Linked DNA regions of Ovis aries. The protein of the gene in region 1 purifies or fractionates together with the protein of each later gene. This does not show direct contact. Links are inferred from orthologs where the notes say so. Each region holds a gene or a part of one and is shown on either strand. Other genes may lie near its edges. The genes, in order: CPSF6, NCBP3, RBBP6, SRPK2 and WWP2.

Region 1 (4,068 bases):
TGTATCAGTAATTTCTGGGCAGGGTGTATCTTATAAACACACACTAACTTGGTGGGGTTTTAAAAGGATGAGAAAGAATAGGAAGAGGTTTCAAACTGGAGAGACACCTTTGAATTAAAGTGAAGTAGTCCCCACTTGGGGCTTCCCAGGTGGCTAGTGGTAAAGAACCCCAGAAGGGATATGCTCCAAGACCCCTAGTGGATGCCTGACACTGCAGTAGTACCCAAACCTAAATATACCATATCTTTTTTCTGGACTAACAGGTAGTGTATAAAAGGTGCTAGACAAAAAGATGATTCATTTCCAGGGATGGTTGTTGTAGGATGGCTAAAGATTTCTTGGATGCTACTCAGAACTATAGCTACTTAAAACTTAGGAACTATTTCTGGAATTTTCCATTTAACATTTTTGGACTGCAGTTGACTGGCAAACGCTTTTTTATTAACCACGTGACTCCTATTAAGCCACTTAAGATTCTTTAGGCCTCAGTTCCTTTTATCATCTGTAAAATGAGATGTTTGGACCTAAAGTCATCTTTTCTAGTTCCCCTCCTTCTCTGACATTCTATGAGTCTAAGAGAGGAGTTTCCTCGTCTGAAGATACCTCCACTTTATAGGGTGGGCCCAACGGGGACCGCATTCAAGTTTGAGACATTTAAACTATCCCAGGAACAACCAACTGCAGCTCAAAGGAGGTTAAAAATGACGGGCGATGAAAAGGGGGCGGGGGAGGAGATGAAAGAAGACGATGCAGAAGATACAGATGGAAAGATAAACGGTATGCAAATGACATAAGTAGCATGCAAATAACTCAAGAAAACCATCAACCGGTAACTAGTATTTACAAGGCAGACGAAATTCTGCTGGTCTTTTGAGGATGCAGAGGTAAGACATCCTCTGGAGGCGCTCATGGAAAGCCGGGCTACACTTTTGGTGTTTCATCTAGACATAAAACTTCCACCTCCCTAAAAGCCCTGGCTGTGAGAAAAGTAAGAAAAACTGAGAAATGAAAATATCACAAAATGCTTAAGAGTGCCAAAGACAACGTGGAAACTGTCTGGAGACAACTGGGACCACCCCCGCCCCGCCCCCCAAGCCTAATCCAGACACACAAAAGAAACCGCCGGCGCCTTCGGAGACGCAGTTTCCCTTCTTCGCCAGCTAAGCAGGCGGTGGCGGAGACCCGCGCCCCCGGCTGCCCCCGCCTCGGCCCTCGGGCCTCGGAAGTGACGCAGCGCGCCCCGCCCCCGCCGCTAGATCCGCTGCTGCTGCCGCGGCGGGCGGACCTGCAAGAGGCGGCGGCGGCGGCCGAGGCCGAGGGAAGATGGCGGACGGTGTGGACCATATAGACATTTACGCGGATGTGGGCGAAGAGTTCAACCAGGTACGTGTGGGCCCGGGCTCACGCCGCCGAGGTGGGCGGCGCTGCGGCCGGGACGCGGACCTCGGGCCCGCTGCGGGCCACGAGCCGGCGCGGCTGCAGACCGTGCGCCCTTGGCGCCAGTGGGCCGCGCCGCCCGATCCCGGCGCAGCGCCCGCCTCGCCGCTCGTTCTACCGCGTCGTTTCGTGGGCGGCGGGCGCCGCCACCCTCCGCGGGGATCCGAGCGCGGACGCCGGCCACTGTGCAGCCGCTGCCGGCTCCTCCCTCGCCGCCGCCTCGCTCCCCATTGTTGGCGGAGGCCGGCGGGCGCTTCCCGCCTCGCTAGGCCCGGGCGGCGGGGCGGCGTGTGCGCGGCGGGGAGGACGGGCCGCCCCTGCGCTCCCTCCCCCGCGGCTAGGTCGAGGAGGAAGCCCGGCGGGGCGCGCGCCGGCCTTCACCTTGCCCCCGGCCCTGCCGCTCGGGCTCCGATTCCTTCGGTCGCTCCATTTTGTGTCTCTGTCGTCACTGGGTCGCCTCATGGAAGGCCGTGTTCACGGCCCTTTGTATCCCGCGCGCCCAGCTTCCTGAGCTCCCCTGCCCGCGTTTGCGACAGGTTTCGGCGTGGCGCCATCCTTTTCCTTCTCTCACTCTTTGGGAAGACGGCTTCGGTGCGGGCACGTTTGCAACAAGTCCTTTGACTTTCGGACCCATGGATCGTGTTTAAAAAGTCGGTGCACTGGCCCTACCTCGGTGTTCGAGGGCTTGCAGTGCCTCTGAGGCCCAGTCGTTCTCGGTCTTTGTGATGAAAATACCAGTGAAGATAGGTGGCCCGGGCCAAAAGGAAGACTTGGAAGCGCGAGGGTTGGATGGAACAAAAAAGATGGTAGCTCACCAAGAGAAGAGATCAGAGTAATGATTAAAGAATCTCACCCGAAATCCACATGGTGTTTGTTAGTTTTATAGCTGTTTCCCGATTTCCGAAAGCAAAATGTTGACTGTTCTCCGAGGGGTTTGGAAAGGCTGGAGAAAGTGAGAATGCAAGGTTTTTCCGGTATCTCACAGGCCACAGTTGCCTAGAAGGACTATCCGTGGAGCTATGATGTCTGATGTTGTGCATCCTTGCAAAAGGTTGTTACTAGAGCAGTGACGTTTAAGCTGTAAGCATTCTGGTCACATCTGCTGTCTTTTATATAGTAACACATTTAAAAAAAGCAAATTGTGTTTAACTGCAGTGTTCCTAATAGCTTTCTTACATTTTCCAGGTCCATGTAAGCTTAGTAAAATTCTGGTTACTGTGTTTTTGTGGGTTTTTTCCCCTCCTTTAAGGATTTTATTTGTGCTAGGAGTTAAGGATTTTTTTAAATAGGGAAAACTAGAAATCCTTTTTTTTTTGTTTTGAGGGATGATGGTGCCCTTAAGTTTAAAATTAGAAGAAAAGTTCAATTAGCTTTAAATGTTTTCTACCCCATTAAAAAAAGAGTATATTTAAACGTAACTCATTGTTATCAAATGTTAAGTTTTAAAATCTTCATTGTGTTGCGCTTAAGGTTTTTTTTCTTTTTTTTTTTTACTATGCCTGAGTTGTATCAGTGACAATTTAGAAAGTTACCTCGAGTGCTAAACACAGTCGGGTTCTAATGCTTTTTTTAAGGTCAGTAAACAAAGACCTCTGGGAAATTTCTTTTCCTTTTATTTATCAAATGAGTGTAACATTCCATCGACAGGAGGTCCATATCTGCAAGTAAAAAAACAAATGTTCAAGGGAGTCTTCATTAGCCCTCTTCCAAGAAAATATATTTCCTTTTGTCTTTCTAGTTACAGTAAAGGAGTGCTGGACTACAATTTTAGAAGTTGAGCATTGTTCACAACCTTTTAATGAGATACTTTTTAGGCTTTTGCATACTTCATTTGGGATGGGCATTTTTGTCATCTGTGTAGCTGGATGGAGTGATACTTGCTTATCCCTGTGCACCAGCTAGTGCTGACCGAACAGGAGGTAAGAAGAGATTAAAATTTGGTAGCCCTGATGAACTGCTTAATAGGGTTCTTTTAAAAATAACATTTTGTGGATTTTACCTATAGCATTTATATTGCACATGTATTTGAATGGTTTTTGCCTCTAGGATCTTCATACTTTCTAATCAATTAATGGCATTAAATAGAGGCTTTGTTTTTGTTGTTATTTTGTGTATCACTGGCCTTTGTAATCTACTGCTTGCTGTGATAATTGCTGTTCACAATATAGCCATAAAAGGGTAGTTGATGGTTTTTTAAGGTTCATTCTTAATTTTTTAAAATGTTACTAGTATTGAAATATGTACCTGAAATTTTATCAGAGTTAGAAGCAACTACAAAATTGTTGATTTAATTTGCATTCTTATTAGCTGGTGACATTACTTCTGTTGGTTGCTAAACTGACTTTATTTTGTTGTAGCTGAGTAAAATGTCTTGCTAAGTATAACGGGTTTTATTTCGGCTTCTAAACTGCTGTAAACATTTAAAAAGTCTTCAATGTGAGCTGTAGTTTTAATTGCATTGTATACTTTGAAGTTCTTTGTAATATATGTGTTTTTTATTTTTTCTGTTTTAAACAGTTATACTTGTATGATGTCTATTTCATGTATGTACTTTGGTAAAGAGCAGTGTAAACCTGTTTCAAAAAGTGAGACATTCAATTGTTTTAAAAACTTTAATTTGGAGATGGTGTG
Region 2 (3,516 bases), on another chromosome or scaffold:
GTGACTGCCACGTGGGGAGCACTTATAGAATGGTATATTTCATCACTGTTGATGTTAATAAGAAGAAATAACCCGGTACCTTACTGTGGCTGCAGGAATCGAGATGTTTATTCCAATGTCCCCATTCTCACAAGAGGCTGGGCCACTTAAATGGCTGTCTGGAAGATGGAGAATGCCAGATAATAATAATAACTAACATTTACTATGTGCCAGGCACCACTCTAGGAATCCTAACATTTTGTTAGAACCTCCCAACAACCCTGTAAGAACTAAGTTAACCTGACTTTCCAGATGAAGATACTGAGGTTCTTAGAGGCTAAATAACTTGCCTAAGATCACAGTTAGAAGGTGACAAGTCAAGATTTGAATATAGACAGTCAGGCTTCAGAATCCACGCTCTTAGGGTACAGTTAACCCCGACTGTACAACAGAATTACCAGGGGAGATGAAAAAATAGTAACTCTGAGATTTATCCAAACCTACCCCCTACTCTAAATCGATCTGTGAAAGGCAGCAGGGTTATCTGGAGTTCAAGAACACAGTCTGAAGCCATGCTGCCTTCTGGGCCAAAAACAGGTTGTAATGAGCCACTGATAGTTTAGGGAGATCTACGGTCTTTTATGAGTATCTTCAGAATCATGAGATCAAGACTGTTTTTCAAAAAGCATTTTTTTTTTAATTAAAATTTAACCCCAAAAGAAGAGGTCCTATTCAGGAGGGTATCATATTCCCATTTTATGAACAAAGAAAATGAAACCTAAAAAGGTTCACTAACTCCCCCACATTCACTAAGGAACTGAGACTGGATCCCAGGAGGGCTCCGGGCTCAGAAGAGCCCCAGCACAGGTGGGAAGAGAGACTGACGAGGGTAATTAGGGATGCTGCAGAGGGCGTGACATCTGAACCAGACAAAGTGTGGGACAAGGAAAGACGAATCAGCAGGGTGACAGGCATGAACGAGATCAGAGGCAAGATGCCACATGGAACGCGCCCAGGACTAGAAGTAAACAGGCGCGGTGTGAAACCACAGTGCGTCCAAGGTGGGGCTGTGGGAGAGGCCTCAGACGTCTGTGTGGGTCCAGTGTGCGGGCACACGAACGACCAGCTGCACAGCTGGCCCTGGCCTTCACAGGACTTTTCCTGAAACAGACAACCACTCGAGCAGATGCCTGGAAACCTAGCCTGCGAGGCAAGCAAGGTCATGTTTCCAAATTGAACACGATGCAGAATAAAAACAGTGAAGTAGCATCCAGAGTTGAGCTACTCTGACCACTGGGAAGGACTGAGGCGGCCTGGGTCTCTGCTATCATGTCATACATTGTAAGGCAACAGAGCAAACAGTTAAAAGCAAGGCTTTAGGGTCAGATAAATCTGAGTTCTAATCCTGACTCCACTTTTACTAGTTGTGTAAACCTGCGCATTTATTTAATTTCTTTGAGCCTGTTTCCTTCTTTGTAAACTAGGGATAAAAATATATTCCTCGTGGGGTTGTTGTGAGAAATGAGTACGAAACAAATATGTAATGTGCTAACACAGCGCCTCATAAGAGAGCAAGTTCCCGACAAATAGTAGCTACTCTTCCATTCATTCAACATGTTTTTATCAAATAGGCAAACCTAGAGAAACTCATACAGCAGAGCACAGACCTTTAACGTGCCTTCAGATGGCTGCCTATTAAAGCCCTTCGCCAAGTCTCCAATTTGCAAATACAACAAAGGCAGATCATTTGCATTTACGGGATAATAAACATGGCTGTGAACTCACGAAAAGGGAAGCAATAATTTTCCCTTCTATTTATAAACTGTCTTCAAAATCTGGGGTAGGTTATCATATTTAAGAATTCAGGGTGAGTTTCAGGAAGCAAAATACTTAACCTTAATAAAACACAAAAATAAAGTAAAATCACAAACCTGGATCAACAGAAGTATTAACGGTATCCCTCACCAATCTGACTCCTCTAAAAGAGTCTCACTGCGATACACTCCTGCTACATTTAAAGGCAAAGAAAAGTGAACACTTCTACAATAAAGCAGAAAATGAGTAAGAGTCCCACAGAGCCACAGTTCTAATCGCCGATCTGCCACCAACTCCATGAGGTTCTCTGGGGCTCCTTAGACAGTATCCTGAAGTTCTGACACAGCCAAATGAATACACACACACACACACATACACAAAACACTGAGACACAGCTAACGCAGCTCATCGCTAACAGGCCACCTCAGAAGCGGCGAATTCACAAGTTCCACGTGAGGTGAGGCCAGAAGCACAAGGCCGTGGCAAGGAAACTGCGGAAAACTCCCCCCAAACACCCTGTACCTTTCTTCATCATGTCTCGGTCCAAGGCTACATTTCTTTGGGCAAGATTTACTTCTGATCGAAAATGGAAGCGCTTGGCTCGCTGCTCCTTCTTTTCAATCGCTTCCTAGAAGGTGCAGAAAAAAAGCCAAAGAAGTGAAATGTGGAGGAGAGTTAAATCACAAACATCACGTGATACACTGGCTTGACAAGCAACTCAGAAGGTATGAACAACACTGTGCCTTGCCTCATTGTTGCAATGAACAGGGTATTGGCAATGGCTGGCAGAGTGGGCGCTAGCAGTGCTGCAATCTGTCATCATCTCGAGGACGACTCAGTGCCTATCAATGTATCTGTGCAGAAACCGGGGCACAAAAAAGCTAAAATGTTTGCCAGGGGCACTTCAGCTGGTAAGGGGCAGATCTTCTCAGCGCTATTTCTAGAAGCCCCACCACCGCCCCCATTTCACATCGTCTGTGTGCATGGTAATCACACCTATCACGTTATGTCTGCCTGAGCAGTCCACTCCCTAAAGCTTTTTTTGTGTTTAAAAATAACACTGAAGCCAAGAAACTCTCTCCTCTATTCTAAACTTGTGTCCACAGAATTGCCAGTTTTCATCTTGAAGTGAAAAGAAGCACTGATGCTTTCTGAAAAACCAAATAATCAGCTTCCTAATTTTTTTTTTCCCCAAGAGCTAAAATATACCCAGGTCCAACTGTGGGTTTCTGATAGCTCTTTGGAACCTTCACTAATTGTATATTGACTTTGCCACACTAATTGAAGGTCTGACTATAGAAAGCTTCTGGGGATTGGTAAGGCAGCAACACTTCTGTTATTTCCCAATAGTTATGTTAATTTTCTCCACTGAAGTCTTCCCACTGGAAACAACTAGTTTACCTTCCTTTGGTAAGAACCAAAGTACCAATTCTTGGCTACCACCCTTTCCACTATATATTTGTTTCAAATAATGGTAAATTGTGTAGGCTTAAGAACAGGACTGCATACTGCTTTTTCAGTTTCAGTAAGAAAACACCTTCACTTCATTCTATTTTCCTGTCAAAAAAGATGATCAGTTCTTTCTTTTTGCCTTTAAGCAATCTGAGACAGATTGAGACCCAGATAAAACACAAAAAAATAAGCATGACATACTTATTTTTATTTTTGCTTTCATACATCCAATATAGTAACACCGTTTTATTTATTCAGAGTTTTAATTCA
Region 3 (3,516 bases), on another chromosome or scaffold:
AGATTTCAAGACACTTACATTCTTGTAGTGAAAAAATGGTAGGAGGGGAAAGTACCCAGGTAATAAAAACCAACAAAGGGCAAAGATTTACTTATTTGAAGATCATTTGCTTTTTGTTAATATTACCTACATAGATCAAAAAGTCTACTGTTACTTCTGACTACAGTTTAACTGGGGAAAGAAATCAGGAAAACAAACATTCTCATAATTTTAAGGATTAAGAAGACATACTCACTAGCACAAAGTAATGAGTTCAGTTCTAAAGTATATCTTTTCCTCTCACAAAGTAAAAAGTATTTTGAGAACTTGCAAATGTGGGATTTAATAAATACTTACATAACATATGTCTTGCTTGTAGATTTAACACCTCCAATAGGAATTCTTCTAACAATTACAGATGAATTTTTAGGAATTAGAGCATTATCATCAGTATATTCTGTAAATAAAAGGATAAAGAGTTGAATTTCTATTTAGAGATTTGGGTAAGTCATAGTCCTCAAGAATTAGAAAACTTCAACCAGACATAAATTTTATGGGAAATCATCTTAAATATAAAAGAACATTAATAACCACATGTTCCTTGCATCGAGATTACTGATACTGTCAGAACAAATGTCCAAAGCCATAAGGAGTTAACACCAAATATGTCAACAGGTTCTTGGCTCTGGCACCTCTACCAGAGATGGAGGTTGAACCCCAAGTCTCAGGAAGACTAAGTTGTTCTCTATTTAGCCAGTAATGCTGAACATCTGAAGTATATGAGGAAAAAGTTGTCATTTAGAATAAATATTTTCTCTCTCCTGGTGGCTCAGACTGTAAAGCGTCTGCCTATAATGCGGGAGAGACCTGGGTTCAATCCCTGCGTTGGGAAGATGATCTGGAGAAGGAAATGGCAACCCACTTCAGTGTTCTTGCCTGGAAAATTCCATAGATAGAGGAGCCTGGTAGGCTACAGTCCATGGGGTCGCAAAGAGTTGGACATGACTGAGCGACTTCCCTTCACTTTTCCTGGGCTGTACACCAGTATTACTGGGGAAGACAGACTAAAAAGTATGACACATTTTGAATACTTTGTAAGCAAAGAAAAAAGGGCTTTGTAATAAAGAATTCAAAGTGGGATGCAACTTTGGATAGAAAGCTGATTCAAGGAAAGCCCCTCGGAGGAAGTGACATCTGAGACTTAGAGAAGACTGAGAAGACAAGATGTGCAAAAACACCGACAAAGAATGTTTCAGACAGAGAAACGTGGAAAAAATGACACCGCAAGGCCAGAAGAGCTGATGAGAAGGACAGAATGACTAGAAACACAGGCACAGGTTACATATATTTATATTGTTTCTAAGTACAACAGGAAGTCAATGAAGGATTTTAAATAAATATGATGACAATTTGATTCATATTAAAAACATATTAAAAACTCTGGTATCTAAGTGAAGAATGAATCTGTATAGGAACAAGAACAGAAACAGGGTGATTAAGGAGGAGACTGCTGCGTAGGCTCAGGTAAGAGAGAATAATGATCTGCTCCGGAAGTGACAGAGAAATCAAGAGAATGTTTTAAGGCTTTCCAACAGAAATTAGGCATGAATTCCTGGGTTCCTGGCTTAAGCAACTGGACGAACACAGATGCTACTTTCTGAGCAGACAGACAGGAAGAATTATCCTATTCTTGGGAATATTACTTGCAATAGTTCTCTAAGAATGAAATGCAAACAAAAAATCAATCAATGAATTCAACGATGGTTTAAAAATAAATTTGCTATGAGAGGAATTTGCAAAATTACCAAAAATAATCCACTACAGGGGGATATATGTAAAAATATAACCATCTCTCTTAATCACACAATCAAGTATTAGGGTTCACTCTTTTTAAATTACTGAGTTTACCTGACTCACTTAAGTTACTTAGCACCAAGTGCTCTAATTATTAATATTAAGCTTATCAACCTCTGTTCTAATTATTTTAAGTTAATCAAATATGTAGTAAGCATTTTAAGCTTTTATAGATATACTGGCTGTATCCTTTCTAATCACATTATCATAAATTGGGTTTCCCAGGTGGCACAGTGGTAAGAGATGAGTAAGAGACGCAAGTTCAATACCTGGATTGGGGAGATCCCCTCGAAGACGAAATGGCAACCTAACCGGTATTCTTGCCTAGAAAATTCCACAGACAGAGGGGTGGAGGGCTACAGTCTACAGGGTCATAAAGAGCTGGACATGATTGAGTGCACATACACATAAATTGTTCAGGGAAGGGTTCTTTTTGATATATGTATTTCAAGTAGTAAGCTTTATCTTCGTAAGCATCCAATTTGAGTGAGACAATTTTCTAGTGTAAGACTACCATCATTATCTTTTGCATAGTTCAGGATAGTTCCAAATTCCAAGCAAGCACTAGGAAAGAAAAACCCAGAAGCATGGGCGATGAGGAATCTTTAGAAAAAAAAAAAACAACTCTAAAACTTTATGTCAAATACCAGACAATTAAGTTGCTGACTATGTAACAACTGTCAAAAGAGTTCACTGTAGGAACAAACAGCAACTGTGTTCAGGAGCTTTCCAAGACAACTTTATTCACCTCATCAACACAGTGCTGTCAAGCTTAAAGTCTGGCTCTGACGCCACATGCTAAATGACCTTTTAAAGTATCTGAATTACACTGATGATTCCCTACCTTTAAGATACCTCAATAAGTAACCTGTTAGCTTCAAAAGATCCTCTCTATTTGACACTTCCATTTTTGATCCAAAAACATGAAGAATACGGATGAAATGAAAAGACGAATTTAAGAAATGGAGAAATAGTCTTTTGAAAATCCTTTTTCCTCAGCTTCCAAATCTTTTTTACCCTAAGTTCAGAATAAAGGCTGTTTTGTTGTGTGTGTGTGCTTTTTTTGGGGGGTGGGGGGCGGATAATTGCAAATAAGCAGAAAACTTAGAAAAACAAGTTTATATAGGAAAAACACAAAAACATAATTTGAGATTCATTTTGAAATGTAGTCTAGAAACAAAGAAGCAGAACTCTTAAATCTGAAACATGAAATTCTGATTCAAGCATTTCAGTCTAAGATTTAAGAGTCCTAAACATGGACAGACTTCCAAAACTGTCTGGAATCTTTTATAGAAACATGATAGAAACATTAATTCAAACAAACTAAAGCGATCCAGTTTGCCATTCTTTCCTAGGCAATCTCCTAACTATGAAGCTATAAATATTTATTCTGTCCTCTTTAATTCACTGGATGGTGCTAAAAGCAAGTGGCATTCTTACTCAGCTGCCTTGTGACACTGATACTACTTGCCATAAAATTCATTAAGTGCCTAAATATCTTTTTCTCTCCTAATTTGAGGACAGCATAAGATGCATACTTTCTCTTCTCTTAACCAAGCCAATAGCAAAGCTTACTACAGCAAAGCTTTCTCCAATAATGACAGTTCACAAATAAACAGAAAACACAGGGCTGGGCAAAGCACTTTCCTGCTTTCAGCATTTGTAAAAATAAGGTATTAAATA
Region 4 (3,516 bases), on another chromosome or scaffold:
GTTACACTGATGTAACTATGCTCAATGGAGACAAGGAAGCATGCTGACGATTGTAGGTTGGCTACAGGAAACCTGTTACTATACACTCCTTTGTAGAGAAGTGGCCGACGCAGACAGAGTTCAAATGAAAATGAAGCAGCAGGTAAGAAGAATTCAGTGACCTTTTAAGGGAGGACAAAGCTAAGTAATTCAAATATTAAAGTACGACTTAACTGGGGCATCTTCCTTCTCAAGAAAAAGGTCTAATTATTACCAGTCATCGGGCTCTTATGCAAGTTCCTAACATGTACACGTTTAACTCAACTGCTTCCTATGAACAACTTTGCAGGCTCTCAATGCCCCTACACAGACTGACACAAAGCTGGCCCAGCCTCTCACCTGCAGACCCTGAAGGAGGAGGAGCGCCCGCTTTCTGCCACTCGGTGGCCTCGGCTGCCATTCTTCTCACATATGCATCGTCCACACACATCAAGATGTTTTCTGGCTTTATGTCAGTATGAATGATCTTGCACTTACTGTGGAGATAATCTAACCCCTGAAGGACCTGATCACATAAAATCAGGAAGGAGTTATTAATACTTCTATTATTCAACATTTATTTGTAAAATAGTTACAGTCATTACAAGGCACAATAGGAACTTGGGCCCGACAGGAACCCAGCTCCTTCCCATAAGCAACCAGTGTATATCATTCTGGAGATAATTTATGCTCATATAAGAAAATGCATTTAAACATATGCTTATTAAAATAACAACTTTGGTGAGATATAATTTACATGACACACAATTCACCCTTTTTTTTTCAATTCAACCTTTTAAGTGTACAATAGAATGGTTTTTAGATGTGCAACGGTCATCACTATATAATTTAGAACATGTTCATCACACAAAGACGAAACACTGCACCCATTAGCAGTCACTCCCCATCTCCTTCCAACTCCTCTAGCCCTAAGCAACCACTAATCTACTTTCCTGGCTTTGGACATTTTATGTAAGTGGAATGATACAGAGTGGTCTTTTGTACCTGGCCCAATACTTTCAAGGTTCATCCATGTGTAGCACATAGCAATACCTCATTTTTTTTAGATGCCAAATAATTTTCCACTGAAAATACATTTTGTTTAGTCATTCAATGATGAACATTTGAGTTCTTTCCATTTTATGGCTACTATAAATATATTGCTATAAACATTCATGTACAAGTTTCTATGTAGACATGTCTTTATTTTTCTTAGTAGCACAATTATTGGGTCATACTGTAACTCTATCTTTAGTCTTTCAATAAACTGCCAAGCTGTTTTATCCTATCTATGGCTGCATCATTTTACATTCCCATCAGCAATGTGCAAGGATTACAGTTTTTTCCGGATGATCAATACTTGTTATCTGTCTTTTCATTTTAGTCACTCTTGTGGGTGTGAAGTGTGTATCTCATTGATATGCATTCCCATAATGGCTAATGATGTCTGTACATTTCTAATATTGTAGGAAAGGAGAATTAGGTAGCTTTGGTACCCAGGCTATAAACTATATAGTACTGATTTAAAAGAAACTGCTAAACCAAGATACTCACATACTTACCATGTGTGTGTGTCTGTGTAAATATATATATAGCAAAAATTACAGAGTATGGTGACCTAAATGCCAGGCCAAAGTTTTTCTGGAATTATTTCCATAAGAGGGGAATTCTTTCTTTTCATAAGGAAAAAAAATATTTTAAAATACAGTTCATGTTCCCATATATTACAAATTCTACATGCTCAATAAACATTTGCATTTAATAAACATCTTCATTCAAACATTTTAAGTCATTTGGTGTCTTGATCACATTAGACAAGGAAGTGAGGAAAAGACAAGCAGAAGATATCTAATACTGAACAACTCGGAAAAGTTCTCAGCAAAAACCCAATGCTTCTGTCTACCTTCAGTTTCTGGCTAAACAATCTTGAAAGTAGAAGTCCCTCAGTCGTGTTCGACTCTTTGTGACCCCATGGACTATACAGTCCATGGAATTCTCCAGGCCAGAATACTGGAGTGGGTAGCCTTTCTCCAGGAGATCTTCCCAACCCAGGGATCCAACCCAGTTCTCCTGCTCTGCAGGCAGATTCTTTAGCAGCTGAGCCAATACCAGGGAAGCCCAAACAATCTTAAGATGACAAAACATTAGTAAGTGAAGGCACAGATTTCGCAAGGAAAGTAGAAGGAACATGAGTCTCTTAACCAAGATGAAAATCCTCATATTCATTTTAAAAACTTTTCCTTGGAAATACTTTCACATGACTTCACTGACTGAGCATCAGTTGAGCTCCTATAACAGGCTGCATATGCTTATAGATGTTTGATACACAGCAATAAACAAAGTTCCCCATCTCCACGAGGCTTTGACTTTACCTTAAAATTAATATTTAATGTTTTAGATAATACTTCAACTAGAATATGTTTAAATTATGTTTAAAATGTCCAAATACCAACAGTACGAAACATAGCATTATATGTTTCCATAGAGAATAAGGTTATAATTCTGAAGGGAACACAATTCAATGAGCCTGTATATATTCACTGGCATTCATGCATCTTCTTTGGGCAAACTGAAGTATCACATGGAGTTCTTATATATGAGTAGTAAGAGAAATTCTGAGAAGTACAAGAAATTAATGGACAAGTACACTGATGACTTCCCGTCTGTGGAAGTAAAAGGAATAAGACTTTTAGAAAGTTTAAACTATTTTTAATTATTTCAACTAAAATTTCACTTCAATCATCAAATATTAACTCAAAGTTAAAATGTCAGCATCTTTCCAAAAATATCTTTCACTACCATCTCATGAACAAGTTGTTCCTAACTTTCCACCTTAGTTCTTTCGTAGTTCTTAGGTTGTTTCACTGTGTGTGAAGCTGCTTAGGTAAGAGTTAATATGATCCAGTATCCAAATGTGTTAAAATGAATTTCAATGAAAATGAGACACTTGAGACAAGCAAAGTGTTCTCAGTAAGAATTTAAGGTTTCAGATATTTAATCCCTTTCATGGATCACTGCCTTGTTGTGGCGAAGGGGCTTGCATAACTCAATGAAGCTCTGAGCTATGCCATGCAGGGCCACCCAAGACAGACACATCATAGCAGAGAGTTCTGACAAAATGTGATCCACTAGAGGAGGGACTGGCAAACCACCCCAGTTATACCTGCCATGAGAACCTTCACAAACTATTAAAAAAGGTCAAAAAGATATGGCACCAAAAGATGAGTCCCCCAGGTCTAAGGTGTCCCATATGCGACTGGGGAAGAGTGGAGGAGAAGTACTAATAGAATGAATAAAGTGGCTGGGCTAAAGTGGATACAACGCTCGGTTGTGGATGTGTCTGGTTGTCAAAAGTAAAATCCGGTGCTGCAAAGAACAGTACTGCATAGGAACCTGGAATGTTAGGTCCATGAATCAAGGTGAGTTGTGAGTGATCAAGCAGGGGATGGTAAGAATAAACAATGACATCCTAGGAATCAGCAAACTAAAATGGACGGG
Region 5 (3,516 bases), on another chromosome or scaffold:
CCTGGTGGTGCTGAGCAGAGAGGTATGAGGGAAAAGGCAGCCTCCCCACCGCGCCCCCAGTGACCCTGCCTGTGAGACAGGGATGCCTAGGTCAGCTGCATCCAGTGAATGAAGAACCAGAGAGTAGCCGTGATGGTCTGGGGTGGGCACCAGGGTCGAGGGAGGCTGGGCTGTGGCTCCACTTTGCACACAGCTGGATGCAATTACGCCTCTGGTTTCAGCTGGCCTGCTCCCGCTCTGTGTTGCCACACTGCCCCCTTCCCTCCAGCAAGCCAACCAACCGACTGACCGAAGACGGTGCTTCATCTTGAGTTGAAAGCGTGTATACCCCTCCCCTGCTCCCCAGTAGGGAAAGATTCTCTTTGTCCTTTTCTTCGCCAGTGACAGACATGAGTGAGTCAGGCTTGAGCTGGTTAAACTTCTCTAACAGGGTGGGGACAGAGGCAGAGACGCAGACCTAGCACCCAGGAGGTGGGAGCCAGAGGGGAGAGGACGTGGGCTCAACGTGTCTCAATCTGAGCGTCCACTTTTCTTTCTCCTCCCCGGCAGAGAAGAGACAGGACAACGGACGGGTGTATTACGTGAACCACAACACACGCACAACCCAGTGGGAAGACCCTCGCACCCAGGGGTGAGGACTTAGGCCGGGAGGGCTCTGGGTGGGCCCCGTGCACCTCCATTGGCCTGGTGGCCTCGCACTATATTTGGCCTCTGTGGCTGATGTTCTGGGACCTTTAAGCACACACAAGTGCCCTCAGACCCTCACGATATAATGAGAGCTTGAAAGCGGCACCTTATGTTGGCCTTCCTCATGGCTGCAGCGTGGCCTGACTGGCCGGTGTTGCTGGTCTCTGGTGTACAAGCTGCTGATGAAGTGATTTCAGAAGGGTTATGTGAGAACTCCCCCCGACCCCGACACTCCTCTACTACCCACCCCCCCAGAAGCTAATCTGGGATGGGGCACTTGATGTCTTGGGATTGCTGGTGGCCACTGAGGCCACGGCCATCCACCCAGGGCGGGGATTCTTTGGGCCTTGGGACAGTAATGATCTGTCTCCGCTGCAGACCTTGGGTATTGCCAAGTACCTTTCCTTGAGGCCTCTGCGGGGCCTGGGTAAAAGCAGAGAGAAGGCAGCCCCAGCCTTCTGGGGACCCCAGCCCCCTTAGCATGGAAGCCCATATGAGGTCCTGCAGCCCCTCTCTTCCCATGTTTCCAGGATGATCCAGGAGCCGGCTCTGCCCCCAGGGTGGGAGATGAAGTACACCAGCGAGGGGGTGCGCTACTTCGTGGACCACAATACCCGCACCACCACCTTTAAGGATCCTCGCCCGGGGTTTGAGTCAGGGTAAGGACTTTGCACTTAGGGCTTGCCAGGTGGTGCTAGTGGTAAAGAATCCGTCTACCAGCGTAGGAGATGAAAGAGACATGGGTTCAATCCCTGGGTCAGGAAGATCCCCTGGAGAAGGAAATGGCAACCCACTCCAGTATTCTTGCCTGTAAAATCCCATGGACAGAGGAGCCTGGCGGACTACAGTCCATGGGGTCACAAAGAGTTGGACAAGACTGAGCGCCTGAGCACCAGCACTGAGGACTGTGCAGGTGACATCACTGTTAGCTTAGGCCTAGTATAGCTGCTCTTCCCACCCTCTAGTGGCCAGTTTTGATGCCACGCCAGTGGGGATGGGGAGGGAAGGGGCTTCTCTATTCAGACTAACACTGGTGGTCTTTCCCTAAAATCAAGAGGTCTGGCTTTTCTAGATTTTCTTTTTAACCTTCAAGTCTGCAGAAGATCTCAGTGGTGGACCCTTCCTTTCTTTTATGCTTTACTTTACTCGTCTCTAAATTAACAGAGCAGTAGCTTTCCTTAGGGCTAATATGTTGCCAAGTTTTGAGAAATCTCGTGAATTCCAGAACATCTTTGCTCTTCCCAGGACAAAACAAGGTTCCCCTGGCGCCTACGACCGAAGTTTTCGGTGGAAGTATCACCAATTCCGTTTCCTCTGCCATGTGAGTTCTGGTACTGGGGCTCCCCCTGGAGATTGGGGTTACAGAGTCATTTCAGCAGTTTCCTAGCCTAGTTGCAGGTGTTGGAACACCTGTGTCTTAGGTGGGAGCAGGTCACTTGTCTCACTCTGAGCAGTTGTGTGACACTGTCTTCCATTCCTAGGGGACCAAGTTCTCCCCACCTAACCTGGGGGTGGAGGGTAGGGGAAGCTTATTCAACAGACAAGTGATCAGATTGAATAGTTACCACCAACGCCCCAATTTGAGGTCTCTGTTTTCCTTTTCTTTTCAGTCAAATGCTCTCCCCAGCCACGTGAAGATCAGTGTTTCCAGGCAGACACTTTTTGAGGATTCTTTCCAACAGGTTAGAGAATAATCACTGAGTCTAAGACCCAGGGCAGGGAGAAGGCCCGCTGCTACCACCCTGTCTTCTCTTGTGTGGCCCTTTAAGCCCACATGATACGGTTTTCAAGACGTGGGCCTTGGTTATGGGGAATCAGCCGAAGAGCAGGCCTGGGAGTCCCTGGTCGCCTGCCCCCAGCCTGCCATGGAAGGGAGAATGGCAGGCTGGCCATGACCTTCTGTCTCCCCAGATCATGAACATGAAACCCTACGACCTGCGCCGCCGGCTCTACATCATCATGCGTGGCGAGGAGGGCCTGGACTACGGGGGCATCGCCAGGTGAGCTGGGAGCCCCAAAAGGCCGTGCTGCTCCCTGCTTCACCAAGCTGCAGGGCACTCGGCCAGGAAGCTGCCTCCTTGCTCAGACAGTTGCCAAAGCTCTCCTTTACCTTCAGGAGTGGGCAGGGGTGTGGGTGGTCCAAAGGGGTGCTGGAACTGGTTCCTGGGGTCCCCTTCTGGGCTAGGCATCAACCCTCTAATTGCTGGGTCAAGGGGAAGCTGGGGGTTGGTTTCTAGGGGAGCGGTTCAGGATGATGGCTCTTTTAAAAATTTTTTTAATTTTGTATTGGGGTATAGTCAATTAACAAACTGTCGTGATAGTTTTAGGTGAACAGTAAAGGGACTCAGCCGTCCATGTACGTGTATCCATTTCCCCCCAAACGCCCACCTCCCATCCAGGCTGCCACATACCATTTGAACAGAGTTCCATGTGCTGTATAGTAGGCCCTTGTTGAGAACAATAGTTCTTTGCCAACCAACCTGTCATTATTTCTTTATTTTACCCATCTAGTTGCACCAGTGGGCAGTGGTTAGATATCGGTATTAAGTGGTTGTCCGTTGGAATCGACCCTGGACTTCACTTCCTCTTGAGGCAGCTGGGGTGGGCTCAGTTGGGGGTCTTGGTGTAGATCTGGCATATATACATTGTGTCCCAATCCAGAGGGTCTTGATAAATACTTGGCTGCATGTCATGTACACAGTGACGGTAAAATGAAAACAAATGGTATACTCCTAAAAAGAACTCAAAGCATTGTCTTGCCCTCACCCCAGTGCTGCTACAAAAGTTAATAGATTCTCTGGCAAAATGTTGCCTTGGATGATGGGGCAT

What was found.
Region 2: the proteins of CPSF6 (region 1) and NCBP3 purify together in Homo sapiens (co-immunoprecipitation; 3 studies listed by BioGRID and IntAct, with this or other methods). This does not show direct contact. The link is inferred for Ovis aries from reciprocal best matches to the Homo sapiens genes CPSF6 and NCBP3.
Region 3: the proteins of CPSF6 (region 1) and RBBP6 purify together in Homo sapiens (affinity purification with mass spectrometry; 3 studies listed by BioGRID and IntAct, with this or other methods). This does not show direct contact. The link is inferred for Ovis aries from reciprocal best matches to the Homo sapiens genes CPSF6 and RBBP6.
Region 4: the proteins of CPSF6 (region 1) and SRPK2 purify together in Homo sapiens (affinity purification with mass spectrometry; 3 studies listed by BioGRID and IntAct, with this or other methods). This does not show direct contact. The link is inferred for Ovis aries from reciprocal best matches to the Homo sapiens genes CPSF6 and SRPK2.
Region 5: the proteins of CPSF6 (region 1) and WWP2 purify together in Homo sapiens (affinity purification with mass spectrometry; 3 studies listed by BioGRID and IntAct, counting the BioPlex papers as one, with this or other methods). This does not show direct contact. The link is inferred for Ovis aries from reciprocal best matches to the Homo sapiens genes CPSF6 and WWP2.

What each region holds. Positions count from the first base shown.
Region 1 is NC_056056.1:150,777,717-150,781,784, reverse strand, and holds the start of CPSF6 (cleavage and polyadenylation specificity factor subunit 6), read left to right. Parts: upstream 1-1,254; 5' UTR 1,255-1,323; coding exon 1,324-1,383; intron 1,384-4,068. UniProt on the Homo sapiens protein: Component of the cleavage factor Im (CFIm) complex that functions as an activator of the pre-mRNA 3'-end cleavage and polyadenylation processing required for the maturation of pre-mRNA into functional mRNAs.
Region 2 is NC_056064.1:24,361,243-24,364,758, forward strand, and holds part of NCBP3 (nuclear cap-binding protein subunit 3), read right to left. Parts: intron 2,423-3,516; coding exon 2,317-2,422; intron 1-2,316. UniProt on the Homo sapiens protein: Associates with NCBP1/CBP80 to form an alternative cap-binding complex (CBC) which plays a key role in mRNA export. NCBP3 serves as adapter protein linking the capped RNAs (m7GpppG-capped RNA) to NCBP1/CBP80.
Region 3 is NC_056077.1:22,741,665-22,745,180, reverse strand, and holds part of RBBP6 (E3 ubiquitin-protein ligase RBBP6), read right to left. Parts: intron 437-3,516; coding exon 337-436; intron 1-336. UniProt on the Homo sapiens protein: E3 ubiquitin-protein ligase which promotes ubiquitination of YBX1, leading to its degradation by the proteasome.
Region 4 is NC_056057.1:47,828,539-47,832,054, forward strand, and holds part of SRPK2 (SRSF protein kinase 2), read right to left. Parts: exon of another isoform or gene 545-3,516; coding exon 379-544; intron 1-378. UniProt on the Homo sapiens protein: Serine/arginine-rich protein-specific kinase which specifically phosphorylates its substrates at serine residues located in regions rich in arginine/serine dipeptides, known as RS domains and is involved in the phosphorylation of SR splicing factors and the regulation of splicing.
Region 5 is NC_056067.1:36,512,711-36,516,226, forward strand, and holds part of WWP2 (NEDD4-like E3 ubiquitin-protein ligase WWP2), read left to right. Parts: intron 1-549; coding exon 550-631; intron 632-1,217; coding exon 1,218-1,346; intron 1,347-1,932; coding exon 1,933-2,008; intron 2,009-2,297; coding exon 2,298-2,369; intron 2,370-2,598; coding exon 2,599-2,687; intron 2,688-3,516. UniProt on the Homo sapiens protein: E3 ubiquitin-protein ligase which accepts ubiquitin from an E2 ubiquitin-conjugating enzyme in the form of a thioester and then directly transfers the ubiquitin to targeted substrates.